Callithrix jacchus: one gene and its partners. The main gene of each other region encodes a partner of the protein of the gene in region 2 in a complex. Links are inferred from orthologs where the notes say so. Each region holds a gene or a part of one and is shown on either strand. Other genes may lie near its edges.

What was found.
Region 1: the proteins of SUMO3 (region 2) and USPL1 are in contact, whole or in part, in a crystal structure (PDB 7ZJU), measured with the Homo sapiens proteins. The link is inferred for Callithrix jacchus from reciprocal best matches to the Homo sapiens genes SUMO3 and USPL1. Residues at the interface, in NP_008867.2 of Homo sapiens: Gln24, Asp25, Gly26, Ser27, Val28, Arg58, Arg60, Gly63, Gln64, Pro65, Ile66, Asn67, Asp70, Leu75, Phe86, Gln87, Gln89, Thr90, Gly91; in NP_005791.3 of Homo sapiens: Ala234, Cys236, Trp237, Pro321, Gln322, Leu323, Arg324, Met330, Glu331, Ser332, Val334, Phe335, Leu339, Tyr368, Thr378, Thr380, His393, Phe394, Gly395, Pro396, Asn398, Arg407, His421, Val423, Tyr451, Asn454, Asn455, His456, Phe457, His493.
Region 3: the proteins of SUMO3 (region 2) and SENP1 are in contact, whole or in part, in a crystal structure (PDB 6NNQ), measured with the Homo sapiens proteins. The link is inferred for Callithrix jacchus from reciprocal best matches to the Homo sapiens genes SUMO3 and SENP1. Residues at the interface, in NP_008867.2 of Homo sapiens: Gln24, Ser53, Arg55, Gln56, Arg58, Arg60, Asp62, Gly63, Pro65, Asn67, Thr69, Asp70, Gln74, Glu76, Asp84, Phe86, Gln87, Gln88, Gln89, Thr90, Gly91, Gly92; in NP_001254523.1 of Homo sapiens: Gln440, Asp441, Glu446, Arg449, Leu450, Thr451, Lys455, Trp465, Leu466, Asn467, Asp468, Glu469, Asn494, Thr495, Phe496, Lys500, Arg511, Trp512, Lys514, Lys515, His529, Gly531, Val532, His533, Trp534, Gln597, Gly600, Ser601, Asp602, Cys603.

Annotation. Positions count from the first base shown.
Region 1 is NC_133506.1:149,819,032-149,828,996, reverse strand, and holds the start of USPL1 (SUMO-specific isopeptidase USPL1), read right to left. Parts: upstream 5,648-9,965; 5' UTR 5,515-5,647; intron 2,208-5,514; 5' UTR 2,139-2,207; coding exon 2,040-2,138; intron 1,521-2,039; coding exon 1,392-1,520; intron 1-1,391. UniProt on the Homo sapiens protein: SUMO-specific isopeptidase involved in protein desumoylation. Specifically binds SUMO proteins with a higher affinity for SUMO2 and SUMO3 which it cleaves more efficiently. Also able to process full-length SUMO proteins to their mature forms.
Region 2 is NC_133522.1:50,470,043-50,479,853, reverse strand, and holds the start of SUMO3 (small ubiquitin-related modifier 3), read left to right. Parts: upstream 1-4,288; 5' UTR 4,289-4,382; coding exon 4,383-4,403; intron 4,404-8,981; coding exon 8,982-9,110; intron 9,111-9,811. UniProt on the Homo sapiens protein: Ubiquitin-like protein which can be covalently attached to target lysines either as a monomer or as a lysine-linked polymer. Does not seem to be involved in protein degradation and may function as an antagonist of ubiquitin in the degradation process.
Region 3 is NC_133510.1:2,418,631-2,428,538, forward strand, and holds the start of SENP1 (sentrin-specific protease 1), read right to left. Parts: upstream 6,420-9,908; 5' UTR 6,237-6,419; exon of another isoform or gene 6,013-6,236; intron 5,994-6,012; exon of another isoform or gene 5,294-5,993; coding exon of another isoform or gene 5,285-5,293; exon of another isoform or gene 5,125-5,284; intron 1,207-5,124; 5' UTR 1,163-1,206; coding exon 1,159-1,162; intron 1-1,158. Other genes in the region: PFKM (ATP-dependent 6-phosphofructokinase, muscle type), read left to right, coding at 5,285-5,293, 7,689-7,779, 8,446-8,556. UniProt on the Homo sapiens protein: Protease that catalyzes two essential functions in the SUMO pathway.

The DNA of each region.
Region 1 (9,965 bases), on a different chromosome or scaffold from region 2:
TATTTCATTAAGTTGGACTTTGACCTCTGATATCCTTTCTTCTGCTTGAACAATTTGAGTGTTTAAACCTGTGCATACTTCTCCGAGTTCCTGTATTGTACTCTTTAGTTCCATTAATTCACTTATATTCCTCTCTAAGTTGTCTATTCTCAATAGGATTTCATCAAACCTTTTTTCAAAGTTCTTAGTTTCTTTACATTGGGCTACAACATGTTCTTTTAATTCACAGAAGTTTCTTATTATCCATTCCCTGAAGCGTGATTCTGTTATTGGGATGCGCTCGTTCTCCATCAAGCCTTGTTGCATTGTTGATGTGGAACTGTGATCATCTTTAGAGAGAGAGGCGTTCTGATTTTGAGTATTTTCAGCCTTTTTATGGTGGTTTCTTCCCATCATTGTAAATTTATCCTCCTGTCGTCTTTGAAATTACCAACTTTCAGCTTACGTCTCTTGAGTGGACGTCCAAGTTGTTAGTTCCCAGGGCCAGAACAGCAGCGTTAAGACTGATGGTGCTTTTCTGCCCAGGATTCTCCTGTCTGGCTTCCTTCTTGTGTCCGTAATAGGCGACTCTGCCTTCCCGGGGCTCCAAACCTCGGTCAGAAGGGGAACCAGTCTCGTTTACTCAGCGCCGAGAGCTGCCTCACCGAGGTGCCGTCACAGCCACTGCACCGGCCTCCGGAGTCGTGCTGGGGACCCGTGTGGGTCCTCCAAACCTCGGTCAGAAGGGGAGCCAGCCCCGTTTACTCTGCTCCGAGAGCTGCTGCGCCGAGGTGCCAGCAAAACCGCTGTGCCGGCCACATGAGTCGCGCTGGCGACCGGTGTGACTCCTCCACTGGGGATCTTCTGCTCCGTGAGCGACCAGAATATGTCTGAAAGTGTGGCGTCCTCTAGTTCTCTGCGCTTTCACTGAGAGCTGCAATCCTGAGATGTTAGCGATCAGCCATCTTGGATCGTTCCCCCCTATGATCTATTTATTTCAGAGCATATATATTGATTTTGGACTAACCAATTTCCAAAATACTCTTCCAGGTACATTAGAGATTCATAACTTTTCCCATCAGTTCCAAAGGCAAACCAAAGAGATGACAGAGAATGACAATATGCTAATGGCCAACAAGGACCTCCACAAGGTAAAAAAAAAAGAAACAAAAATCTTGAAATGTATTTCTTCCTCTTACAAGTCAAATGGCAATGAAAACAAACATTGTTATGCAATCAGGAAAAGTAGGTGAAAAAATAACATACATTTCAAATTGTATACCAGACAGGCTTAGAAACTGAGATTACATATTAAAAATCTAGTCTAAAAAAGAAAAAATGAGTAAAATTTTAAAACAATTAAGAAAAAACAAAAGGCTAAAACTATATACTATAAAAGATTAATAGTTTACCTGCAGATCCTCACATAGAAAGACAGATTCTTGAAAACTAATTCGATAAGTCTTTAAGGCTTTTAACTTTCCCTTCTTTCTACAAGCAGGGCAATACCCATCTGATGGAACTTCAGCTGAATCGTAATTCTAAAAGAGAAATAAAGCAAATTAAAATATAGACATTCTTAGAACATATCAAAATATTAAAAGTTAAATGGAAAGGTAATCAGAAAAAAATATAATTTTCAATTATAAGTATCCTGGCAAGATATTTTAAACATGGCAAATAAAAGAAATGTATATAAGCCTTTAAATACAGCTAATATTCCAAAAAGAATTGTTATAGTTTTAAATATTAAGTTTTGAGTGTTAAGAATAGCATCAATTTTATTTGCAAGAAAAAAAGTAACATCAACTGCCAGGGAGAACTTACGTTCCATATTTTCAAAGAGCAGAAAATCATAAGGTCTATGTTTCATTTCTACTTTCATATATCAATAAAAGACAGAGAGGTAAAACACATTAAAACAATCTTTCGCCATTACTGTAAGATTTCCGTGGAAGATACAATTTTTTAGAAGTTAACTGGTAACATCAAAACTGAATTTAAGTCTCAAAAATAGAGAAAAAAAACTTTGCACTCAGGCAAAAAATAAGTTCACTAACTTTTCCCAAATACCCCACCATGTGGAGTGAAGATACCCCTATATCAGCCCCTGGTCCAATCACTGGCAAACCATTTCCAATCTTCGAGGAATCCATCATTCCGAGTCATTGGCTAATTTATGTCACTTGAAACATGTCAATATCACTAAGGATTTTTTTCAATGAACCCTGGAAAAAAAAAGTTAATAGACAATTAAATAAAAATTCTATTTACTATAAAAAAGAACCATGCTATTTTATAAGACGCATATGTTAAGCAGATTTTCAGGGCTACATGTCCTAGAATAAACATATTCTAAAAGTAAAATCTTGATGTGAAAATGATACCCGTATTTATAAACCTAGCAAGTTTGTGGACAGAGGGTAGTGACTGGCAACAGGACCAGTTTTCATAGCAGATTCATTTGCGAACAAATTAAATAAAACTTGTAGTAGAGGTAGCTACTATTTAAAGCACACTATATTGACCAGAATTTGAAAACCTCACTTTTTAGAGTCTATGTACAATTTGAAACAAATATGCCAGCATTATACTGAGAAAGTACTTAAAAAACCCCAGATCCATTGTGCCATTATTTGACAGGGACAAAAGAACCAATGAACCACATTCCTATTGTTTTCAACTACCAAGAACATGAATACTTTACCAGCTGGGAAAAATACTACAATACTACTTATTAAAAGCTGCTAACACATTATTTTAAATGACCTAATTTACACCACATTTAACTTATTTTGTTATTATCAAAACAAAAATATAAACACTGTCCTAGTACAAATCACACATGTGGCCAACTTGTTTCGAGTGTAGTCCCATGTCATAGAACCACATTTAATAGTCAAAATTATGAGACACTGGAGCTCAGTGTAAGCAAAAATTAATTAAGAGTAGTTTAATTGTGGGCTTACAATCATAGGGAAATGAAATACAGAGGACCTTTAGGGCAGAGGCGAATTACCACTTAGCAGAAAGGTTGTAAGATGATTCTAGGCATAAGTCTTTCCCAAATCCAAGAATCCGTGATTCTATGACAACTATCTCCTAGGAATCGATGGCTCACAATTCACTTTAAAAACTAATTATTCTATTTTGGTTCAGCTATATAAACTTCACAAACCTTTCAAGCCAAGGAATAATTTCAAAAATAAAATCGCTTTTTTGAAAAAGTCAGTATCAGTGAATCTCAATTTCCTGTTCCTGAAGAAATAACCCTAAGATAGGGTTTCTCAACTGCAGCAGGACAGATAGCTTTGACCAAATAATTATTTGTGAAGGCTGTCCTATGCACTGAAGGATGCTTAGCAGCATCACTGACCTTTACTCCCTAGATCCAATAGCCAAAAATGTTTCCCGACTTGCCAAATGTCCCCTGGTAGGCAAAAATCACCCCTTCTGGTGAGAACTACTGGTGCTTTTTTCTTTCTTTTTAGGCTCAACTTACTACCTTTGGCTGGTTCTATTTCTAATTTACTTACAAAAGGGAGCTAGAGGACAGGTCTGACCATCTGTAATCCCAGCACTTTGGAAGGCCGAAGTAGGCAGATCACATGGTCAGGAGTTTGAGACCTTACCTCTACTAAAAATGCAAAAAATTAGGAGGGCATGGTGACAGGCGCCTGTAATCCCAGCTACTTGGGAGGCTAAGGCAGGAGAATTGCTTGAACCCAGAAGGTGGAAATTGCAGTGAGCCAAGATCATGCCATTGCACTCCATCCTGGGTGACAGAGCAAGACTCCATCTCAAAAACAACAATAACAACAGCAACAATAACAACAGCAGGGAACTAGGTGGGAGTCAAACTTCCATGGTCCCTGCTTTGCAAGCTGTGTACCTTCGGATCTTGGTCCAGAAACTTACCTGTAAAATTGGTTTCTTCTAAGAATTAGATGATATAAAGCACGTAAAAGGCTTAGCACCTGACAAATTAAGCCTACTATTTGGTACTAATTTTATACTTCATTCTGCATAGAGAAAAAGCAGTACAACTTGCAGCATTCTGCTGGACTCTCAAAAGGGAAACTAGTAGGCTATGTACCTTGAATAAACTGTTTTTGATGAAAATTTCCATCTACCTGAGGGAACTTAGAAAACTTTTTCAAGTCAAACGGTTTTCTCATTGTCTCTCTCAATTATAAAAGATAAAAAGCTTCCAAATCTGCTCTCTGAATTCCATCACCCAACATTTCAATGGGAAAAACAGATAGGTTGGTGGTTGAAATCCTGAATATATAGAATCCCCCAAAAGAAAATTTGTCCATATGGGGGACATAAAAAAAAAAAATACCAGAGGTGAGCTCACCAGGTCTTCTTTCAAATACAATTCACTTTGACTTACATACAAAATGCTGGGGTGGATTTTACAACTTAATCTGACCCTAAGTAACCGCTCTTTCTCCATTCAAAAGCAATCTCCTCCTCCTTTCCATATCTCACTTAAATGTGGGCATCTCCATCCTTCGAAACACACAGACTATAAAGTCTGAGTTGTTCCATATTCTTTATTTCCCTCTTCACACAGTAAGTCACACAAAACTCTGTTGACAATTGTTTGGAAAGGTCTCAGATCCCCACCTCTTTCCCTTCCATCTTACTGTCAAAATGGTGCCCCTATAAGATAAGTCTGAGCCTGTCAATGATCAGCTTAAAATTCTCTATTTACTCCAGCCTGATTACAGCAAAGTCAGTCCAAACAGCCCAATATAACCTAAAGGCAGTACTATGACCTAAACTCGTACTGTGAAACCAACCAAGCTTTCCAGTTTTATCTTCAACTCTACTTCACCCCCAACATCTTTCTCCTAACATCCCCTTTTCATACTTTTATGAGCCACTTATACTCCAGAATCCTTAATGTGAATTATTAGCCCAGCATGAACCCAGTTACAGCACAATGAACGTATCAAGCTGGCCCTGGGAATCGCAAAAGGTATGCAATTAAACTTAATTCACATTCCTGTGTGCAAAATGGAGAAACCAGGGAAACAGCTGTTAGAAGAGGGGGCCTCACACCCACCCATCTGAGCTTGCCCTCCGAGAGCTAGTAGGCTCGGCACGTGAACTGTCAAAAGCGAGGCCAAACCGACCTGGAAGCCGAGGAATAGGGTCGGCTTTCCGCACCGAGCCCTGTCTGGTACCAAACCCAAACGTCTTCAATCAGAGACGAACAGGACCAAAAGAGGTGAGTTTCGACCCAACCTAAGAAGCCTAAGGAGGCGCACAGTCCGTTAACCCTGCTCATCTCCACGCTCCTTGGAAAACAAAAACAAACTCTGGTTTCTCTTCAGCGTTCACCTCTCTGCGCCCAAACGGATCTGTAAGTCCAACTCTGTACCTTAATCATCAACCTTTCCCACTTGAACCCCGTCCGAGCCCAGACCAGCCTTTCAGCGCGCCGACTACCCCATAGGTCATCCCAGCTCTGTCTCTTTTCCCTATTTCGAGAGGGAAAAGGAACCTCTCCCTCTTTTCCCGTACCTGCCATGGGCACTCCCCTTCTTCGTACCGGGTCGTTCGGAACTCCTGTTCCAGCTTGATCTCCACACCACCTAGTTGCAACGTTCAACCCACGTTCCACTCGGACTGCTCCTCCCCCACTCGCGTCTCCACTAGGAAGGTGGCTTCCGGCTTGAGTCCGCGGCAAGAGAGTCCCCCTTCCTGCTGCACGCAGGGCCTAAAAGGACTGCGGCGTGGTGGGGAAAGTGAAGACGGAAGCACTTCCGGTCGCTTTCCGCAGAGGCGTGGCTGCCTGCCCTGCGGCCGCAGACGCAGTTGCGACTGCGGCGACAAGTAGGGGCGGGGCCGGTGACTGCTCAGCCCGCCATGTGTGAGTGGCTGGGTTTGGGGAGGCGACGTTTCTGGAAGCTGCTGGAAAGCGCTCGAGTGGCGGAGGTGGCGCCAGCGGCCGGGGGTGGGGCGTGATTAAAACTAGTGCGCGGCCGCTGCGGAGGGATTACGCTAAGGAAAAAGACCTGCTTACGCTCCGCTGGTTCCTGGTCCGCGAGAGCGTGGTCGGGAACCGCCGGGCCCTGGAGTGACCCGCGGAGGTGGGAGAGGGAAGGGCTCCCGAAGCCGGCGGTACTGCCATGGAGGCTCTCCGCCGGCGCGGCTTTCACAGCGCGGCCGCCCTGGGCATCCGTAGTCCGCTCTCCCAAAGCCTCGGTGGAGCCAAAGCTGCCACAGAGTGCATGTTCACAAAGGGTCATCACACACGGAGGTGCCCCTCCCTGTCTCCCTAGAGCCCACCTTCGAGCCAGGGGCTTTTCTACCAGGATTCTGGGGTGTTTCTCCTCCCTTCCTCCCTCCCAGATCTTCTCACGGTAAGGGGAGCAGCGAAAGCACAGGGACTTTGCATTCCACGACCCGTTCTGACTAGTCAGCAGCCGATCTGTCCCTGCTGCACTAATTCCAGCTGCCCTGCCTTGTTTTAACTTCAGAGAAAGGGGGAGTTCTCATTTGATAAGTTTAAGCCTCTGCTTTCGTAGGAAGGTCATGTGGCTTAAGGGACATCGTGACCGCTTGTGCTATTTCTGCGTGTGCATTCTAAATCTTGGGGGCAGCATATTCCAGAAGTCCTTTTGGTCGATTGGTTCTGTGCCTTAGGATAACAATTTGTACTTTCTGTTTCTTTGCAGACTAACCACAACTGGCATTTTGAACTGTGGGGTTTTTAGTGGTCTAAAACTAAATGATTGTGTTCTGGAATAATGCTGATCATTTGGATACCGTGGTATGGAGGAAACAAGTATCGTGTAGAATAAATTCTTTAGTAAAAATGATTTTAGTTTTTGGTACTTCTGAATGCAAATGGCCAAGGAATCCAACAGAGTTTGTTGGGCTTTCTCCAGACAAAAATAGGCTGGTTAGTTTGTTTACCTTTTTCTGTTGTTTTTATTAAACTAGATTATTAATGTGTTTGTGTATTTAAGGTCTAGCTAGTTTTTTTTTTTTTTTTATGTATTGTGATTAAAATTTGAGAAAGTAGTATTTCCTCCTCAAAATAGCCAGAATTCAGAGGGTTGTTTTCTTGCTCACCAGTGCTATTTCCATTTTTAGAATGAAATACACTATTTGTAAAAAAAAAAAAAAAAAACTTGCTAAATATGAACTTATAAATTGAAAACAATTGGTTCAGTTAAAATGTAGCTAAAATTGTAAGACTGCAAAACCACATCACGAAACTGAATTATATTTTTAAAACATTGTTGCAAAAACGTTGTCTGCCAAGTTGAATTTTAGTCTCAGTGTAAATTTGATTTTTTTTTCAGAAAAAAATTATTAGTAACAAAATGGAGGTGGCGCTTGAGTTGTAAAGAGAAAGGAAGGGATTTTAATTTGTTCTATCTCCAGAGCTTTTTCCCCTTGTAAAAGGTAGTACAAGACTTTTAAGATAAAGGGAAGAACTTTGATATAGGAGATCCGCAGAGATGGACTAGAAAACCCCTTTCGTTTATATTAGAGAGTAACCGTCCCAACTTGAAAATACTGTATATATTTCTGCTTATTTCTATATATTTGAAATGCTTTTGTCTGTGTACCCTGGTCCTAGAGAGAGTGCAGTACCTTCCAGAGGGTTTGCTCGCTCATTGCCTCCCTCCCCTTGTCAGCGATGTGGGACAGAAATTTTATTGACCTATTTCCAGTTAAAAACTCATGATTTAAAGGAAGACGCTTTTATTAAATTAATAACTAACGAACAGCTGCAATAGTTCAGTGCTGTACATTTAGGATTTTCTCCCCCCACCCCCATTTTGGCCACTCATGATGTCACCTCTTGCACCCTTAACCACTATACAAGTGTTTGGCCCAAACCTGGGATATAAAAGCTGCTTGCTATGATTTCTTTTTCTAGTCTTATCAAAAAGATGAGAGTCGAAGTGACTGACTTTACTTTCTAGAAGCACCCTTATGAATACATCCCACATCTCAATTTAACATTCAGAAAGCGCTGAAAACCTAAAACTTCTTAAGCTTAGCAACAAAAGTCATTTGATAGCAAAATATGACCTGAACTTTTGAGAAACTGTATATAGTCTTTATCCCATGTGTTTTGCTGAAACTCTATTAGTATGTTTGATTATGGGGTGCTGCCCTTGGCCCCCGCTATGTGGGGTGTTATATAATGGTTTGTGTACCTTGTTACATTTAAAAACTGTATGAAATTATTATTTCTAAAACACATCCAACCCTTTGGTTTTAGTTAAGGAATTGTAAACCTGTATTAATGTTTTTGGCAACACACGTACATATTTTAAAAAATTAAAGTAACTAAAGATATTTTAGTTCTTTCAGTAAATTCAGATTTATTAGGATAGAAAAAATACATGTATCATATTGTGTGTCTGTCATATCGTGCATCTATCATATTGTATACATGCAATGAAAAAGGTATGTACAGCTTATTTGTAAGTGTAGCCATATAGTGAGCCAAACAAGAAATTAATAGTTTGAGGGCTTAAGGTTAGTTTATACTTTAGGCTTTAAAATTTAGATGAAACATGACAACTTGTAATGTAGTCCAAACTTGGCTGTTTTGCCGATAGAAAATGAGAAAATGGGAATAAAGTTGATCCCATGTCTTCTGCTATGTGACCTTACATAAGTCACTGAGTTTTTAAGGTCTCGGTTTACAGATTTATAAAATGAGAAGTTTGGAATAGATGAATCTCTTTTTTTTTTTTTTTTTTTTTGGAGGCGGAGTCTAGCTCTGTTGCCAGGCTGGAGTGCGGTGGCGTGATCATGGCTCACTGCAGCCTCCACCTCCTGGGTTCAAGTGATTCTCCTGCCTCAGCCTCCCGAGTAGCTGGGATTACAGGCACACATCACCATGCCCAGCTAATTTTTGTATTTTTAGTAGCGACGGGATTTCACCATGTTGGCCAGGATGGTCTGGATCTCCTGACCTCGTGATCTGCCCACCTTGGCCTTTCAAAGTGCTGGGCTTACAGGCATGAGCCACCGCGCTCAGATGGATCTCTTATGGAAAGTTCCTTACAGTTTCAACATTCCATATGCAGATATTTACTGTTAGGAGTACCGCCTATTTTTAAAAGTTTTTCCTACTAAGGATATGATCCCATTTCATCTCAAACTGCTGTCTTGCTGATCTAAACTTGTCATTTTGTTCATAGCTAACACATTCATTCACATGGTTCAAAATTCAAAAGGTATAAAAGGATACTCTGTGAAGTCTTTTCTTCCACATCTGTTCCTCAGCCATCTCATTCTCTGCCTAGGAAGCAACCAGCACTACCAGTTTCTGGCATATTTTTCAGAAAAAATGTTATACATGTATGAGCAAATAAATATATATAATGTTTTTTCCCTTTTTCTATATAAGTGGTACATATCATGCATATTGATTATGTACCTTTTTTGTTCACGTGCCTTAAAAGTTGTTCTGTTATTATGCAAGATATTTCCTTATGTTTATGGCTGCATAATATTCCATTTTATAATGTACCATTATTTCATCAACCCTATCTTTTGAACATTTAGGTGTTTTTTTCCAGATCTTTATTAAAGAGCATTGTGCAATGAATAACTTTCTATGTACATCAATCTCACATGTGTGCATATATTTGTGCTCTAGCCAATGGCACAGCTGGGTCCCGTGCTTTGACTTATGGCATGAAGATATGCCAGTATGGTATAGTGGAGTCAACAACCTATTTGACTCTAAAGCAAGCATATGAGATAAATCACATCACCTGAATGGCTGTTTCTGCATTTGAGAATGCATGTATATATACATATATCCATAGTATGCATATGCATGTATAGATGAAGCAGGTGGATTATGTGTAGGGACTTTATCCTAAACAAACAAACAAATGTTTAAACACTAAAATCATGCCACTGAGCAAGATTTACAATGAGTGGCATATGAGAACTGCAACTGATTGATGTAACAACAGTTTGTTCTTTCC
Region 2 (9,811 bases):
ACATGGTGAAACCCCGTCTCTACTAAAAATGCAAAAATTAGCTGGGCATGGTGGTGCGTGCCTGTAATCCCAGCACTTTGGGAGGCTGAGGCAGGTGGATCACGAGGTCAAGAGATCGAGACCATCCTGGTCAACATGGTGAAACCCCGTCTCTACTAAAAATAAAAAAATTAGCTGGGCATGGTGGCACGTGCCTGTAATCCCAGCTACTCGAGAGGCAGAGGCAGGAGAATTGCTTGAACCCAGAAGGCGGAGGTTGCAGTGAGCTGAGATCATGCCATTGCACTCCAGCCTGGGTAACAAGAGCAAAACTCTGTCTCAAAAAAAAAAAAAAAAAAAAAAAAAGGGAGCTTTAGAACTGGCTAATTTCTTGTATTTTTAGTAGAGATGGGGTTTAGCCATATTGGCCAGGCTGGTCTCAAACTCCCGACCTCAGGTGATCCACCCACCTTGGTCTCCCAAAGTGCTAGGATTACACTGCGGCCACTCTGAATATTTTCTTCTGACCTATCTTTCAGTTCATTAATTATCTCTTTCACTGTGTCTAATCTGTTTCAAACACATCCACTGAATTTATAACTTCAGCTAGTATATTTTTTGTTTGAAAATTTCCATTAGATTCTTATATACCCCACTTCTCTGCTGAACATTTTCGTCTCATAATCTACTTTCTTGAACATATTAATCACATTCCTTTAAAGTCTATGTATGATAATGTCAATATCCTGTTGACATAATAATTCCATGGGATTATTTCTTATATGTATTTTGGCTTTGGATCATTTGTCTTCTGGTTTTCTTTGTGAACTTTATCCGGATATTGTGTATGGAAATATTTTCATTAGTTTGAGGCCCTGGATGATGCTATTTTCCTCAGTATATTTCCCTTTGCTTCAGGCTGGCCTTGGGAAAGAGGGCAGATCAGTTGAGTCTGGGATTGAGCCCTTTGGAAGCTTGATTTCAGACTTTGAGAGGGATGATCCAGTCACCCCTCAGCCTTCCTCCCCTACTGCAGCACTCAGTGCTCTCGGCTGAAGGTCTGGGTCACTCAGCAGAGCCTATCTTGGGGGCCGTCACCAATTATTGCGTCCCCAACCCTGTAAGACTCAAAAGCTCACTCAGAGTGTCAACTTCTTCCCAGTGCATATGTGAGACTGAATTGTGTCCTCCAGCATTCACATAGTGAAGCCCATTTCATCTGGAGATAGGACCTTTAAGGAGGTGGTAAGGATGGGGCCCTAATCCCATAGTACCAGTGTCCTTGCAAGAGGAGGAAGAGACACCAGAGATCTCTCCATCTGCACACACAGGGGAAAGGCCATGTGAGAACATGCCAAGGTGGCCACATACGAGCTGGGAGGAGAGGCTTCACTGGACACCAACCCTGATGGCTCACTGATTTTGGGCTTCCAGTCTCCAGAACTGCCTGGAGGCTGGGAAATAACTATCCATGGTTTGTATTTTTTTATGAAAGTCTGGGCTGAATAATACAGGATACTTATCACCAAATGCCTCAAAGAAAAAAAAAAAAACAAAAAACAACTTGCCTTTTTCCTGAGGTGGTGGGAGGTCTTTGCCCCTCAGAGAAAAATTTGTTTTTGTAACTATCCGATATACTTAAACAGATTTAAAAATATTTTATACCGATTTTTGAGCTATTTTTCTTGGGTTTGTCTGAGGCAACCAGTCCTTCCTAACTGTAAGGAAAAACTTCTCTGAATGCTTCAGGCATTTCTCCTCACACCACCCATCTCAGTGTCTGTCTTCTCTCAGCCATTCAATACTCAGGGGTCCTTTCCATTTATAGAGTCAAATATTTCTTTAGTTCAGAGAATTTTATTTTCTTTTGTTTAAAACAAGGTCTCGTCCTTCTGCCCAGGCTGGAGTGCAGTGGTGTGATCTCGACTCACTGCAGCCTCTCCTGAGTTCAAGCGATTCTCCAGCCTCAGCCTCCCAAATAGCCAGGATTAAAGGCATGCATCACCACACCTGGCTAATTTTTGTATTTTTAGTAGAGACGGGTCGTCACCATGTTGCTCAGGCTGGTCTCGAACTCCTGACGTCAGGAAATACACCTGCCTCAGTCTGTCAAAGTGCTGGCATTACAGGCAGGAACCACTGCACTGGGCCTCAGAGATACTTTCTTCAATCCTTTGATTTTTGTCCTGCCTTCCTTTTTTCCACCTTCTCCTTCTGTAGCTCCTGTCAGGTGGACACAGCCCTTCCTGTACTGAGGCCCAGTGTCCTGGCTTCCCACCTTCCCTCTCTTTAGTTCTCTGTCATGGGAGAGTCCTGTGACTTTGGCAGTTGTGTCCTCAGCCAGGACCCCTCTCCTAGTCAGCACACGGGTTGAGCTTTCACGTCAGCAATCCTCTTACTCATTTCCCAGCTCCTGCCTTCTTGTAAGTCTTCTTGGGACCATCACCAGGTGTTGGCGACACTGAGGACGGGCTCTGGCAGTCTCGGATCTGGACCCTGTGCTCATGGTAGGCCCTGGTTTTTCCTGAGCTCTGGTTTCTCTGGTCCATTCGATCCCCTTTGGCTGTGTCCTTCAGAAACCTGTTGGTGTTTGGTCTACCAGCAGTGCCCTTTGTGTCCCCGCAGCTCAGTGGAGCCTTTTTGCATCTTTGTGGTCACAGGAAGGATTTGGGGCAGGTCAGAGTGTGGGAGCAGCGTTCTTTCTTCGCAGACACAGCATGACTTGATTCGGACCACCATCATCTTTTAGCCTGCTCTTGAAAACTGAATGTCATCTGAGCATCCTTGATATTCGTGACACGGCTTTTTGTCAGAGGAATGCACCTGGCTTAACCGCGAGTGGTAACACACCTGGGCTCCACGTGTCATCAGTTCTAAGCTGCGTGTTTCTCACGTCCACAACATGAAGCGGGCTGCCTTATCCACAGCCCGTGGGAATCTAATGTCCGTGCTACCGTGTGGTCTTATGTTTTAGGATCAACAGTGTCTCGGAGTCGGCCTGCCCTGCGACTCTCCCCACCAGCAATCTAGGGGCTCTGAGCCCCGCTTCCCCTCGCAAGGGGCTGGTTGCAGGGGTCCCCCTCCCAAGACAGCCTAAGCCGGCCGCCCACCTCCGCATCCTCTGCGAGGCCTTGGGTTCCAGGTTCCAGAAAGATGGGACCACACCCTGGGACCTGGGCTGACCGTCCGACCCTCTCACCGAGAGACCTCCCCGGCCTTCCCGCTCCTCAGTGGGGGCTCTAGCCAAGAAAGCCAATTCTTAAGAGTGGAAGTTACGGTCCGCTAAGATTTGTCCCCTGGCTTTGCGACCGCGCTCGGTTGGCTGGGCCGTCCCCGGCTCAGAGGCTTAGGTTCAAATCCAGGTCCTGCCCTTTCCCGGCTGAGCCTGCGGGGTCCGGCTCCCCCGCCTCCGCCATGCCCGGATGGCACCGCCCTGGCACTGCCGAGGGACGCAGGGGTGCCCGCCCTCACGCGCATTCCATCCGAGAACCTGGGATCACAGACTCGGAGGCGGGGAGGGCCGGGCACCCCAGGAATGGCGCCGCAAGTCCGGGGAGGCCCTGCCGGCCCCGCGCTCCAGCGCGTTTCCCGCATCCGCGAGCCCCCGTTCCGCCGGCACCGGCGGCGTCCAGCCTGGGTTTGCCCGCGCTCGGCGCTGCTCACCAGCGCTGACCTGGGGATGGTTGGGCCGCCCAGTGCCTCAGTTTCCTCGTAGGTAAAACGGGTCTTCCTGAGGACGGGTTTGAGGGCCCGGCACAGCCCGGTGGGAGCGGCGGCCGAGGGAGCCCGGCCCGGGCTGACAACGGACAGGAAGCTGCCGCTGCAAGGAGCCGCGTGGCGCCCCCAACCGTCCCGGGTGCGGGCCTGATTCGCGCGGCCTCGGCGGCCGGGACCCCGCGGGCGCCTTGTCCGCTCCGTCCGCGGCTCCCGAGAGGGAACGTCGCCCCCAGGGGCCTCCCTCCTCCGCCTCACGGGCTGCGGCCCGGCCTCACTTCCCGCACCCCAGGAACGCTGTCCCCAGAAAAGGAGTCGGGGCCAGGGCGCGGGAGGGGAGGCAGGCAGGGGTCCCCAGGGCCCGGGCTCCCCGCACGCGCCTCTGGCCCGCGCACCCCAGTGCCCTAGGCCGTCTGAGCCCGCCGGGGTCGCGCCGGACCCGCCCCGTGACGCATCTCCAAGCGCCGGGAGCCGCGGCCAGGCCAGCGCGCGCCCGACGCCCCAGGGAGCGCGCCTCGTGCACGCGCGCAGACACGTGACCCCCCGCCGGCCAACGAGCGCGCCGGGATTTGGGGGATAAAGCGCGGCCCCGCGCGCAGTTGCGGCGGGAGAGCGGCGGGGCCGTGAGCGTGACTCGCCCGCTCCGCGCTGCTTCCCCCGCGCCGCCTGCCCGCGCCGCCCGAGCAGCCATGTCCGAGGAGAAGCCCAAGGTAAGCGCGGCGCCCCCGTCTGCACGCGCGGCCATCGCGGGCGTCTTGGGCGCGTCCGCCGACGCGCGCCGCTCCCCGTCGGCCCGAGGAAACCGCGGCGACCTCGGGGACCCGCGCCCAGGCCGGCGGCGCCGCCTGCGCTCCCGTCCCTTCTCTTCCCTCCCCTCCCCCGCTCCGCCCGGCTCGCCGCTCCCCTCCCCCGCCCGGCGGCGCTCGGCGGCGCGCCCCGCCTCCAGCCCGGCTCCGCCCCCAACAAGACTCCGCCCCTTCTCTCCTCCCATAGCCAGGCTCCGCCCCGCTCCCCACCCCTTGTAGTGTCCCGCCCCGAAGTGGAACCGCCTAAGGCGCGCCCCGCCCCGAAGCGCTCTGTGCCTCCAGTTCCGCCCCCGCCGGGCCTGGCCACGCCCTTGCTCCACGCCCCGCCCCTCCCCGGCCGGGAAGCGGCAGGTCTTGCGCCGGGTGTGGGCCCCGCGCTGCTTCTGCCCAGCGCGGCGCCCTCCGATCTCGCCCCGGCGGTGCCCCTGAGGCGTCTTTGCGTGGCCTTCTCTTGAGTCATTGCCCGGTGGCGTCGCCCTCTCCCGCCGCATCGCCCTGGGAGGGTCGCATGTTGAGCGCACGGGTTGGCTCTGGGATTAGCGTCCGGGGTTACCCCGGAGGGGCGTGCTCTGAGGGGCTTGGCCCCTGTGAACAGCTCTGCCATCCTTTCAGGGTGCCCATCGCGCGCCTGGTATTCACCCATTTCTCCACATCGTGTCCCCGTGTGTGCTCACCCCTCTCCTTCGCGATCCCCAATCGTGCCCCCAGTGTACCCATCCTCCCCTTCGCGACCCCCCTTCCCCGTGTGCGCCCACCCCTCCACATCGCATCCCCGGTGTGTGCCCACCTCTCTTCGAGACTCCCCAATCGTGTCCCCAGTATGCACCCATCCCTCCCCGTGTGTACCCACCCACTCCACCATGTGCGCCCGTGTGCGCCCACCCCTTTCACCTCGTTCCCTAGTGTGCACCCACCCCTCCCCATCGTATCCCCCTTCGTGTGCGCCCACCCCCTCCCCATCGCACCTCCCGTTGTGTACCCACCCTTCCCCATCGGGTTCCCCAGTGTGCGTCCACCCTTCCCAACCCCACCCCCACCCCTGTCTGCGCCCATCCCCTATGCATGCCCACCCCTCCTTAGCCAGCCTTGGGTGTGTTTTAGTTTCCTCGATTGCCACACTGGAGTATGCAATCCTGTCTCAGTCCTGGGGTGTGCACCCTTCACTAAGGTGCACTGGCCTGTCTTTGGGAGGGTCTGTAGTCATGTTGACCAGGATTAAAAAAACAGAAACTACTTGACTAGCCTAAAAAAAAAAGAGAAACTTAGGCCGGGCGCGGTGGCCTATAATCCCAGCACTTTGGGAGGCGGAGGCGGGTGGATCACGAAGTCAAGAGATTGAGACCATCCTGGTCAACGAGGTGAAACCCCATCTTTACTAAAAATACAAAACTTGGCTGGGCATGGTGGTGCGCACCCGTAGTCCCAGCTACTTGGGAGGCTGAGGCAGGAGAATTGCTTGAACCCAGAAGGCGGAGGTTGCAGTGAGCCGAGATCCTGCCATTGCACTCCAGTGTGGGTAACAACAGCGAAACTCCGTCTCAAAAAAAGAAAGAGAAACTTCTGAAGCCCTTGGTGTGCACTGTCGACCAAGTGGAAGATGGTGTCATATCCCAGTGGAAGATGACTAGAGCTGAAGACTCTGTAAGGAGGCTGTCTCTGATACTGGCCTGGTCCTGGAGGTGACCACCCTCCGTTTACAAGTGAGCGTGGAGGTTCAGTGCTAGACACTAGTGGGAACTGGGATTGAAGCTCCTGGAACCACGGGCGGGGTCTCTCTGGAAGGCTGCACTCCACTTGCTGTGTAGTGAAACTCCAGGGAAACCTCTATCCAGTGTTTGGAGTGACCTTTGCTTTTTACAGTTTGACTTCAGTGAACTCAAACTTCTTCCACCCCTGGGGTTGTTGGAATATTTAAATACTTGTTAAAACTAGGCCAGATATACAGGTGGATCACCTGAGGTCAGCAGTTTGAGACCAGCCTGGCCAACATGATGAAACCCTGTCTCTACTAAAAATACAAAAAGTTAACCAGGCGTATTGGCACACTCCTGTAGTCCCAGCTACTTGGGAGGCTGAGGCAGGAGGATCTCTTGAACCAGGGCGGGAGAGGTTGCAGTGAGCCAAGATCGCACCACTGCACTCCAGCCTGGGTGACAGTGAAACTCAGACTCCAAAAAACAAAAAGCAAAAAAACTAGGCCAAGGATAAGTGTCTGTTGTGTTTTTGTAGGTAGCTTCCTCTTAGCGAAGAGTAAATGAAGAACCTATGAGACCCATTTTCTCAGCAGTGTTTAAACCTAGCTCTGCCACGTGCTCAACTTCAGGGTCCAATTCCGTTGAAAATACTTGTTCAGTTCCGGAATGACTGATGGCTGCCACCTCACCGGACCCACTTGTGGTGGGTCCCCTTCGTGTGTGTGGGAGCAGCTCTGCCCTGGGCCTCTGAGGAAGGGGAAGAAGTGGACCCTGGGACCCAGTGGTGCTGGGAAGAAGAGCTTTTGGGTCAGGTGGAGAATAGTTCTGACTTCCCCGAATAGCTGAGGCAGAGGATTGCCTGTAGTGAACTGGGGTCCATGTTTTTAGGGCTTCTTTTTTTTTGAGACGGAGTCTGGCTCTGTTGCCAGGCTGGAGTACAGTGGCGCAATCTCAGCTCACTGCAACCTCCACCTCCCGGGTTCAAGTGATATCCTGCCTCAGCCTCCCGAGTAGCTGGGACTACAGGCAGCTGCCAGCATGCCCGGCTAATTTTCGTATTTTTAGTAGAGACGGGTTTTCACCATGTTGGCCAGGATGGTCTCTATCTCTTGACCTTGTGATCTGCCCGCCTCGGCCTCCCAAAGTGCTGGGATTACAGGCGTGAGCCACTGCGCCCGGCCCAGGGCTTCATTTTTTAACTCACGAGTTCATTTGTTTATTAGGAATTCACCAGGGATCTGGAACAGACTGTTCATTCCTGGCATCTGGCTGTTAATGGGGCAGAGGTGCTGTGGCTGGCCCTGCCCTGCCCCAGCCTCTCCCGGGGCCGCAGCCATTGCCCGGTGTGGGCAGGTCTGGGTCCTGCATCTGTGCCTTTGAACACACCCATATCTTCCTTCCCTAAAGAAACCAGTGAGTCCTCATGCTTGGGGAAGTGAAGGGGGTTCATGCAGGGGTCCCCACTAACATCCTGCCCGGAGTGGTCTGCATGCCCTCACTTCCTGGGCCAGTTTTTTCTGTGCTGGAGGCCACATTGGGGGTGAGGGGGTGGGGGGATGGGGGTGTGCCAGCTCACCACTCAAGCTGCTGCGAAGCCAGTGTCCTCCCTGGAGTGGGCAGGGATGCCTGGTCCAAGACTGGAGTTGGGGGGTGAGTGCCACCTCAGAATATACATCTTCAGGCTTGTGGCTGGAGCCCCTCACTGCCAGGGCCCCTCACAGGCCACTCTTGCTCCCTTGACAGAGAGCACCATACCTCCCCAAGGGTCTCCAGGAATGTACAGTGCTCCCTCTGGGAGCACCTCCGCGTAGGGTGAGAAGGTACCAGGGTGCTCCAGACTTGACGTTCAGATGCCCCGTCGCTTCACTCAGACGGCTTCACCCAGCAGTGCAGGCAGCCTGAGGGGTGTCCCACTTTGCTGCTCAGACTGAGCTGCCCCGAAGTTGGCTCCCAATCTGTTGACATCGGCTTCTTGCCTCAACTGAAAATGCATTTCCAGGCAACAAGACACGCTGATTGTGCCTTGCTGAGCAGCTTCAAGCATGGCATGAATTAAAAAATAAAATGCTACCCGCTGCTCTCAGATGGGACAGTTTGAAACCAGAAAGTACTCGGAGATGGCTCCCTTCACATTTGCCAATGACAGGGCAGTGAGAAGGAGCCTGGCTGCCCGCCGTGGGAAGCGGCTCTCCTCAATTGCATTCCTGAGGTCACCACTTTAATGACCCACAGGGTCCCTCTGAGTCGCAAATGTTTTGTTCTGTTTTGGTTTCTTTTACTAGTGCTGAATAGCTGTAGTGACTTGTGGATATGTCTTTTTACTGCTTTCATAAGAATAATTTTTTAAAAAAGAGATGGGGTCTTGCTGTGTTGCCCAGGCTGGTCTCAAACTCCTGGGCCCAAGCCATCCTCCCACGTCAGCCTCCCAGAGTGCTGGGTTGATGGGTGTGAGCCACTGTGCCCAGCCCACAAGAATCACTTTAAAATAAAGATGGATCTTCTCTGATTTTTCCCTAGCTTTATTAAACGGGTTTTCTTTGAATTAACCATGTTAGAGGACTGTAGATTCGCATTGTTTTACCCACAGATGCTTAACAAGTGGAAGTTAAAAATCAATTCCGTGTAAAAATGAGACAATCACATGAGTGATTCCGACTCCTGGACAGTTTTAAGAACTAGGTTGTCTTTAAGGACTTCAAAGAGCTGATGGTCACCTAAGGACCTGCCCTGCAAAGTCGCGGTTATTTTGAGACACAGTTTTGAGGCCAGTCTCTGGTGTCCCCTGCAGGAGGGCGTGAAGACAGAGAACGACCACATCAACCTGAAGGTGGCCGGGCAGGACGGCTCCGTGGTGCAGTTCAAGATCAAGAGGCACACACCGCTGAGCAAGCTGATGAAGGCCTACTGCGAGAGGCAGGTGCGCGCCTCGGCCCCCCGCACGGCTTCCCGCGTGTGTGCAGGTCCCGTGGGTTCCAGGCATCCCGGGAACATGAGTGTCGGGGCTGGACCCAGCTGCAGCTGCTCGAGGCGCCCTCCTCACGGACAGGCGGGTGGGCGGGTGCTTGTGTTGTAAACTTGGCCCAGGCTGGGCTTGCTGACTGTGCCCCCACGGCCTTTTATGTGGCGGGGGGCCCTGGAGGCTCAGATGAGTGCAGTGGGGTTTTCTTCCTGACAAGGCGGCTTCCTGGGGGCTGTGTTCTTCATGGGGCACTGACATCTGTGAAGTCTGTGATGCTGAAGGCTGTTGGGAGCCCTGCCCGGGGCTGGCCTTTCTGCAGCTGCAGGTGGCGTGTGCCCCATGGCACTGTCACCTTGTCCTTGCATATGAGCTGGAGTAGCCCGGGAGAAACAGTGCCCTCATCTGCAGTGTGGTTTTCCCTTTTGTTAGGAAAGGAAAGAAAGTGTGTGATTCTTTCTCCTCCTTCTCCAGTTTCAGGATAATGAGCTGCCTCACTGGCAGTGCCCTGCTGGGCGGACGCCTTCTGGTTGCTGTGTGATTGTGGACTTGGTATGTGTGTGCGTGTCAGTCATTCTTGGTAGTGCTCGGAGGACTCGCCCTGGGCCAGGGGGTCCCTCTCCAGGCCACTCCTATGGGCTTTGCCTGCTGGCTGCTGCCTG
Region 3 (9,908 bases), on a different chromosome or scaffold from region 2:
GGAACATGTGAGATGCTATAAGATCTAAGTGTATAGATTTTTCAACTTATTCCTAAATTGGCTACTAGTCCTCACCTTATAGTGGTCCCCTTTAGAGACATAAAGTACTATAAATGACATACTGAAAAATGTTCTACTCACAATTAATTCTCAGTAACACTAGCTAAATGAAATAGAATACTTACATTAATCAAATTATTTATCATTCAGAAGTCAGTATAACATTGTACTAGGCTGGGCGTGTCAGCTCACACCTGCAATCCAAGCACTTTGGAGGCCAAGGTGGGCAGATCACCTGAGGTTGGGAGTTCAAGACCAGCCTGACCAACCCGGTAAAACCCCGTCTTAATAAAAATAAAAAAAACAAAACAAAACAAAAAAACATAGTACTAAAGAACAAGAACTCTTAGTTGGGCATGATGGCTCACCCCTGTAATCCCAGCACTGTGGGAGGCCAAGGCAGGCAGATCATGTGAGGTCAGGAGTTTGAGACCAGCCTGGCCAACATGGTGAAACCTCATCACTACTGAAAATACAAAAATTAACCTGACACATTGGCACATGGCTGTAATCCTAGCTACTTGGGAGGCTGAGGCAGGGGGACTGCTTGAAACCAGGAGGCAGAGGTTACAGTGAGCTGAAATTGTACCACTATACTCCAGCCTGGTTGACAGAGTAAGACTCCATCTCAAGAAAAAAAAAAAAGAACAGGAACCCTGAAACCAGAGTGCCTAGGTTTAAATCCTGGCTCTGCCAGTTATAGTACACGACTCTAGGCAGGCTTCTTAACTCTGTCTCAGTTTCCTTATTGATATAATAGGGATACAAGTATCCTTGTAAGATGGTTGTGAGGATTAAATGGACTAATATATTTTAAATACTTAGAACAGGGTCTAGTACATAGCAGATGTTTGTTTGGGTATATTTGGCTTTTTCAATACAATCATTGAGATAATACTCCTAAATGAGTACATAAACGATGTTCTAACCAGAAGATAATTGTATTTGGTATACAGTATCACATAATTAGGATCAAGATCTCTCACAAAATTATTATTAAGCACAAAGATAAAAATACTGAAAATGTTAGGAAAACCCATTCTTTCACTCCAGCTTAACCAATAAGAGTAGCTAACAGGATTCAACAACTAGTCTTACCCATTTCAAGTCTTTTCACATCACTGACTTTAGCAAAGATACAAAGTCCTATAAAAGAAGACAAAAACAGAAAAATTACACACTGAAACACTTCACTTAATTTTAGAGGGTGCAGCCAGTAGAAGTAACATTTGTGTTCTTTTTTTTTTCTTTTTCTTTTTTTCTGGTTTCCAATGTTTGTGTTCTTAGCGGAGAAAAATCTAAGGTGCAAAAAAAAAAAAAGAAAAGAAAAATCTAAGGTGCAAAGAGTTGACTTGATGGAAAAACTAAAACTAGCTTGAGGTACTTCCAAACATTTCTGCAACCTGTGCTAAATTAAACAGCAATTACAGACTACCCACGGAATCACAGATTATTAAAGCAAGAAGCAAGTTGGGAGAGCCAACCCTTAAGAGACTGGGCGGTTTGCATAAAGTCACAATGTTAGCAACTACATTGAAATTACAACCTAGAAATTCTTCCCAATCCATTGTTCTATTACCTCACGCTAAATCACTTCATAAACAAGTGAGAGACTTTGTGATGGTCCTATTGAGACTTTTCTTACTCAGTGACTTGATACCTAATGACAATCAAGGACTGCTTTGCAGTAGTACAAAGTACTTCCCCTCAATCATCAATCAAACTGCTACAAACCGAAGCTCCTTTGCCTATATAAAAATTACTGTTTCCTCTGATGTATCCACTTTTTCCACAAAATAAAGATGTTAAAACCAAACTGCTGGCCAGGCATGGTGGCTCACGCTTGTAATCCCAACACTTTGGGAGGCCAAGGAGGGCGGATCACTTGAGGTCAGGAGTTCAAGGCCAGCCTGGCCAACACAGTGAAATCATCTACTAAAAATACAAAAATTAGCCAGGTGTGGTGGTGAGCACCTGTAGTACCAGCTACTCAGAAGGCTGAGACAGGAGAATTGCTTGAATCCGGGAAGCAGAGGTTGCAGTGAGCCGAGATACCACCACTGCACTCCAGCCTGGGCAACAGAATGAAGGGTCTCCAAAACAAAAACCAAACTATTTGGAACTAGGTTAATAAACATATCTCTAGCACATATGGTCTTCGGAGATTTCCAAGAGGAGGAAGACACTAGGGATGATAATAGTCACACCTATATATATTTATAATCTTATAACCATATTTTTTAAAATATCAAGCACTACACTACATCAACTACATAGCAATCCTAGGGCTTCAATGTATTCATGAGACTGGATGACGATAATAGGCATTCTTTGTGGTCACAGTAATGAAACTCACAGAGAGAAAGGCTGCTTAAAGTTCTCTTGGCATAGCTATAGACTAAGTAGAGTAATTATCTGATTACCTCCTCTTACCAGGGAGGAGCCCTAAAGAATTTAAGCCTTAGATTTAGGCTTCAAATATATTTTCAAATGCTCAACTTAAAAGGCTTCTTTATCTAAAAATTCTTTAGGTATTCTTTCTCCTTCCTTCTTCTTTAACAGAGTAGAATCCCCCGGGTTCCAGATTAAGGGGGTTAAGGGGGAAAAAATCATATCAACCAATATATTAGCAACACTTTTTTTTTGACATTTTACTCTTTAAGGTTGCTTTGTCATCGCTAGCCTTTTTTTTTTAAATATTAAGAAGAAGGCCGGGCGCGGTGGCTCATGACTGTAATCCCAGCACTTTGGGAGGCCAAGGCGGGTGGATCACGAGGTCAAGAGATCGAGACCATTCTGGTCAATGTGGTGAAACCCCGTCTCTACTAAAAATACAAAAAATTAGCTGGGCATGGTGGCGCGTGCCTGTAATCCCAGCTACTCAGGAGGCTGAGGCAGGAGAATTGCCTGAACCCAGGAGGTGGAGGTTGCGGTGAGCCGAGATCGCGCCATTGCACTCCAGCCTGGGTAACAAGGGTGAAACTCCCTCTCAAAAAAAAAAAAAATATTAAGAAGAATACCAATTTGAAAGCCTGGTGCCCAACAGAATAATCCCACGTTAATCTCCCTGCATTTTGTTGAGACAGATGTGAAAAGAAAAGGAAGCTAGAAATTCAAAGAATTCTACAGATTATATCCAGAGAGGTTAAGTGACTTGCCTGAAATCACAAAGATGGGGCAAAAAGAATATAAGAATCCATGTATCCTGACTCCAGGGAAAGTGCACATTTCAAACATCGTACAACTTCAAATCCTTCAACACAGCCTCAAAGATTCATACACACTGGCAATCCAAAAGTAATCCCTCACTAACCCTGGGGAATCCACACTGATTTTTGATTTTAAATAAAGCCCCACATTTATATTTTAATACAAATACATCCAGCTTCTTCAGTGTGCTTATGGTACATTCCTTTCGCCACCTGCAGTTACACTGGGAGAAGGAATATTTTACCCCAAGATTCTCCATGAAAATGTTGAATCTGGAACCTCTGATGCCACTAAATTCCTGCAACTGAAAAATCTTTTCTTTTAAAAAAAAAGTATCCTAATAATTCACTTCCTCGTACACACTGGTCATTTGATTTCCTGGAAGAACATAAGCAGTTACAGTCATTCAGATGAAGTCGGGTTAGTAGCTGAACACAAGGTGAAGGGAAATCTGAAAGAACAAAAAAGATCAGGCTTGACAACTGCGGTGACACATTTACAGTCTTACACACATGCAAAGGGGATTATAAAAGACAATGTTCAGGGCTGAAATGAAGTTACTAGAAAATATATATTGAGCTAATGTTAGCTTTATCCAAGACCAAGATGTGGTGAGCAGAATTTATGACATGAGAAGGGTATGAAAGCAATCACGTGAAATCACCCTTTTCCAAGTTCTGAAAAAGTTATGTGTACAACAGTTGTACTGTATCATCATGTGCTTGAGGTTATTTCTTCCCCTCTATCTTTACATGTAATCTCTCCCAATCAGACTCTAACACCTTAAACACCTTAACACTCTAACACAGTAAACCCTAAGTATTCAAATTTTTTCATACATATTCATTTACTGTGCACCAACTACGTGCAGGGTGCTGGGAATACAAAAATGATTAAGAGAGCGTCCCTGCCACTGAGAAGCTCACTGTCTAGTAGGGAAAGCCAGATCCGTAAACAGATACAGCAAGACAGCAGAGCTAGTACGATTGATAGAAGAAGAAGTTCGGAAGAAAAAGACAGATTTCCAAAGGCGTAGTCAACAACTGCATGCCCTTAGCCAGAAGTAGCAGAACCTGTTTTTGCATCCATCTACTCCCTCCAGACAGCTCGTTAGATGAGTGATACGAAGACCGTCTTTGCAACTGGGGTAATGAATTGAAGTCAGTTAAAAATGAATAAGCCTGGGCTGGGCGCGGTGGCTCAAGCCTGTAATCCCAGCACTTTGGGAGGCCGAGGCGGGTGGATCACGAGGTCAAGAGATCGAGACCATCCTGGTCAACACGGTGAAACCCCGTCTCCACTAAAAATACAAAAAATTAGCTGGGCATGGTGGCGCGTGCCTGTAATCCCAGCTACTCAGGAGGCTGAGGCAAGAGAATTGCCTGAACACAGGAGGCGGAGGTTGCGGTGAGCCGAGATGGCGCCATTGCACTGCAGCCTGGGTAACGAGAGCGAAACTTTGTCTCAAAAAAAAAAAAGAAAAAAAAGAATAAGACTTCCTAAAAGGTACTAAAGAAGAAAAATAAAGGGGGCGGGTGGGGGGTTGTAGAGTGGAAGTAGGTTAAGGGATCATCCTTAAAGAGATGATTAAAGTTTCAGTGTAACTGTAATTTCAAAGTCAGGGTAATCTGTATTTCAACACGAGTTGAAACACAAATTATTTTTATGAACGATAAAGATTTAGGAGACGATGTGCTCTAATCCGTCCAGAATAACCCATTACAACAAAGACCCTCAGTGAAATCGTTGGTAGTAGATAAAAGGCTTTATGTGAATATTACAAGAATCACCACCACTCCAAGTATAATGTGTACCAAAGACGAAGTAAAATGACTTTAACGAGGCTGACTTGACAGTGATAAAGGAGCAAGTGATGCCAGCCAGATAGTGGAAATACTGCACAGACACCGATAAACAGAAATCCCCAAGCTCGAGGGAAGGGAAACGAGGCGCATATCCAGGACCACGTTCGGGTGCACCCAGGGGGCCGGTTCCAGGGAATTACCCGGAGGCGATGAGCCAGGTAAGCCACTGGGGCCGTGAAGGGGATCTTCATAACCTGAGCAGGAGGGTCCGGCCGTGTCTTTCTGCTGGTGGCACCAGCGGTAGCACCGCTCAGGGAGACACCACAGAGCAAGAGAGTTGGAGAAATGTTTACGTGGGGCGCAGGGGGAGTCCGGAAATACCACTCAGGTCTCAAGGAAGGCGGGAGGTGAAGCCGGCAGCGTAGACGGCCGAGCTTCCCGGGGAAAGCAGCTCTCCCTACGCAAGACCCTGCTCTGGCGGGAAAGCCCCGGAATCCCAACCGGCCTTTTCCCACAAGTACGGCAGGGCGCGGGGATGGGCCTGTTGTAACGGCTGGGAGACGGCCTCTCCGCGGCCCGGGAGAGAGGACCGCAAGGAAGGGCCTCAGGTAGCCTAACGGCCACCGGCGGCCACCGCACGGCCACCGGACAGCAGGGGGGAGGGGAGGTGGTCCCAGGGGGCGGGGCAGAGGTAAAGGCGCCGGCCCCACAGTGCTCCTCGCTTCCGCCCAGTCCAGTCCGGGCCGGCGGACCGGGTCCGACACAGCCTCCTGGCCCAGGTTCCCTCCATCCTCACCCCTCCCCCAGCTTCCCGCCGCCACTCACCGAACCGGAACCGGCTGCCATGCGAAGGGGTTTCCGGCCGGGCGCGGAACGCAAAACCCGGGAACCGCCGCGAACCGGAACCGCCTTCACAGCACCGGAAGAGCCGTTCGGTGGCTGCGGAGGAAGGGGGTTGGGGCAGGAGGTCAAAGAGCAGAGCTAAGGACCAGTGGGACGCCTGCGCGGTGTGGCAAGTCCCCAGAAGTCAAGGGAGCATTTAAGACGAGTCGTAATTTCTCAGTTCCCTTTTCAGTCTGGGCCTTTTCGCTTTCTCGCGCCCGGAATACTGTTAGTGAGCCCTTCGTCCTATGCTTTTCTCTGTTCCCTCAGCTCCCTTACCCGCCTCCTTCTGGTTCCGCTCGGCGAGTTTTGCTTGCGTTCCAGTTTCTATGGCAGCTTTTCGCTGCGGCCCCAGATCTGCGGAAACCCGTGGCTTCCCCCGACAGATGGAGACCTGAGATCTAAATCGATGTCAGGCTATCTCGTGTGCTGTTGAGAATCACAGAACGTTAGCGCTTGTACAGGTTATTGGAGATAGTTTATGGTCTTAACCGGGTTCAGAGAAGTGATTTCCCAAGGGTTTTAAATGCATGTCGCATCTAAGACTCGGAAGCAAGTTTCTTAACTGGCAGTTCTGCTCTGCACCACCTCATGCTTGATGGACCAGCATACAAAAAAGAGAAAGCTGCTTGGGGACGGATGAGGTTAGGCTCTGGCAAGATGTAGAACCTTCCAGAACTCTGGAGGGATTTGAAACATAGGCAGGGCTGTGAGGAAAGCTACTGGGAGTCCACCAGAGATCTGCTTTTCTGGGTAGAGATAGGGAAGGAACCAGGAATCACCTGTGACCTCTGAAGGGCTTGGTTGTTCCTAGGTCTCATTGATTAACCTGAAATCTGCCATACTTTCTAAAAGAAAATAATGGGAAGAAGTCAGTCACGGTGGTTCACATCTGTAATCCCAGCACTTTGGGAGGCTGAGGCGGGCAAATCATGAGGTCAAGGGTTCAAGACCAGCCTGACCAACGTGGTGAAACCCGGTCTCTACTAAAAAATACAAAAATTAGCTAGGCGTGATGGCGCACGTCTGTAGTCCCAGCTACTTGGGAGGCTGAGGCAGGAGAATTGCCTGAACCCAGGAGGTGGAGTTGCAGTGAGCCGAGATTGCGCCACTTCACTCCAGCCTGGCGACAGATCACGACTCTGTCTCCAAAAAAAAAAAAAAAAAAATACGGAACTTAGCCGGGCTTGGTGGCACGCACCTGTATTCCCAGCTACTTGGGAGGCTGAGGCAGGAGAATTGCTAGAACCCGGGAGACGGAGGTTGCGGTGAGCCGAGAATGCCCATTGCACTCCAGCCTGTGCAACAGAACGAGACAACGTCTCAAAAATAAAAAATAAAAAGAATGAGAAGAAATATGTTTGCTCATTCAGACTGTTTGTCAAACACCTCAGCTTGGCAGGCCTCTGGACCCAGGTCCTGTAGAAGTCTCAGAGAAATCCCCCCTCAGTAGGTCCTTTACACTCATACCACAGCCACAGGCACAGTCTGAGCTCAGGCTTGAAGAAGGGCAGTTTCTGGAGGCCCATGCCTTTCTAATACTCTTAGCAGCTTGCTGAGTTCCTGCCCTATCAAATATCTCAAAGTACATTGTGTCGCCCCATATGTTGATACTTACGTATTGTCAAGTCCTGAGGCCTAGTAGCATTAAGCATAGCTGTTCCATGTCAGTCACTGACATCTTATTCCACAACTCTGTTCATTTGGATTAAACTCTGTCTCTCTTTCTAGGAGACAGCCATGCATAAAGACGAGTTTCATCTGAAATTTTTCATGTGTGTGATTCAGTCTCGCCAATTAGTCAGGACTCGTCAGAGAACAGGTACCAACGTCTCCTGATCATACTCTAGTGAGAGAATGGGTTCTCTCACAAGAAGTCTCAATACAGGTTGTGAGGCTTTCTAATGTAAATATGGATTTTAGGAGTCAGCTGACCTTGTTTATCACATTCTCACTTTGATAAAATATTGATCACTAAGTCATGTCTTTTCCATGTGTAAGTATAGGTAAGATTTTGGCCTAGTTTGTTGTGTTAGATGCCAGGCAGATAAGGAGGACTTGAGAGTTGACGGGGAACAAAATTGATCCCATTAGCTGGTCATTGATTTCTGTGTTGTTTTGTAAATTACTTTAACAACATTCTCACAGATTAGTGTGGGCTAATCTGTGAGAATCTTTATTGTCATTATAACTGACACTCCGAAACTATAAGATAAAACAAGTCCAAAGGAAAAATGGCCTTCTTATCCACCCCACCTCAAAGCATCTAGTTATATGTTCTGCTTTTCCGCCATTTATATCAAGGGAATAGAATATTTTTGAGGTAAGAGAGTTGTTGAGAACAGTCATCACTTCTCTGATTTTTTCACTGGATTTTTGGAAAGAAAGCCCTGGAGAACTGAGAGTCATAGGGAAAATGAAAGAGAGTAAGGAACACTCCCTTCCCTGCAACTCACCTTGAGAGTGACCTAAAGCTATTGCTTCTCAGCTGGGGAAGCTTCAACTTCCAGCACATTCATACCAAAGACAGATACCTTGAAGAGTCTAGACACTACGGATGATCCAGACACCGTGGGAAGCATACCTATTTTTAAAACTGGTGAGGCGTGTGGGTAAACAAGGGAGAGAAATGTGGAAAGGAATATGGGAAAGTGAAAGTTGTATACATAGTATTATAAATCAAGGTAAATCTACCAAAGCTGAAATATAAGTTAAGACCCAGGAGGGAAAGTCTCTGTGTATGTGAAACAGAGAGAGAGAAAGAGGGATGGGGAGGGAAAGGAAGAAGTGAGAGAGTTAGGGATCCTTTGGGAAACAGTGGACACTTCTCTCTATGAAGAATAACTTAATTTTGTCAATATTTAATCAATTGGCTCGTAACTGTAAACTACCATTCCGGTTTATTCTATTGTCAGCATCCTTGGTATATAAAATATGAAACTTAAAAAAATTGACTAAATGAGTTGTGATTTTACAAAATGATTCTAAATATTGTAAAAAATTTTTCATCTTAGGAAACATTTAATAGGTTTCTCATGTATGCTCTAAGTAATGTTTAATTCACAAGCAATTTATGTGACGCTTCAGAAACACATCTGTAAGTTTCTTTTCAACTTAAATACATCTATATTGGAGTCCATTTACTGCAAAACTTTATTGAGTTCCCACTATTTGCCCAGTATTAGAAATGATAGGTTATAAAACATATGTATAAGACATATCCTCGCCATTGCCACAAGAGCTTGCTGTTTGGAAATGTCTTACACATTATTTAGCTCAACTCCCTTGTATTTTCAGGACTAAAAGGTTTTCCTCAAAAAGTTAATAATTTCATTAAAGTAACAACTCCCGACACTTATGAAATATATATATATATAGTATTTAGCCATATTTTTGAGCACTTGTATTTGAAATTGTTGGGACTGGACTCCATAGGAAATGAGAAAATGAACTAGACACTTTTGCTGTTCCCCAGGAGCTTATGATTAAGGAGGATTAGAGAATATGGAATAATGTGTAACTTAAGAACTTAATAACTTTGGTTCAAAATGTTGAATTGGTTCAAAATAAGATGCCATAGAGATGTAGAGAAGAGTGAGCTGACTGGCTCACAGCTAGCCCCTCCTTTTCTCCCTCCCTCCCTTCCTTCCTCCTTCCTTTTTTAGTTTTTCTTTTCTTTCTTTTTTCCTTTGAGACAGAGTTTCGCTCTTGTTACCCAGGCTGGAGTGCAATGGCGCCATCTTGGCTCACCGCAACCTCCACCTCCTGTGTTCAGGCAATTCTCCTGCCTCAGCCTCCCGAGTAGCTGGGATTACAGGCTCGCACCACCATGCCCAGCTAATTTTTTGTATTTTTAGTAGAGACGGGGTTTCACCAAGTTGACCAGGACGGTCTCGATCTCTTGACCTCATGATCCACCTGCCTCGGCCTCCCAAAGTGCTGGGATTACAG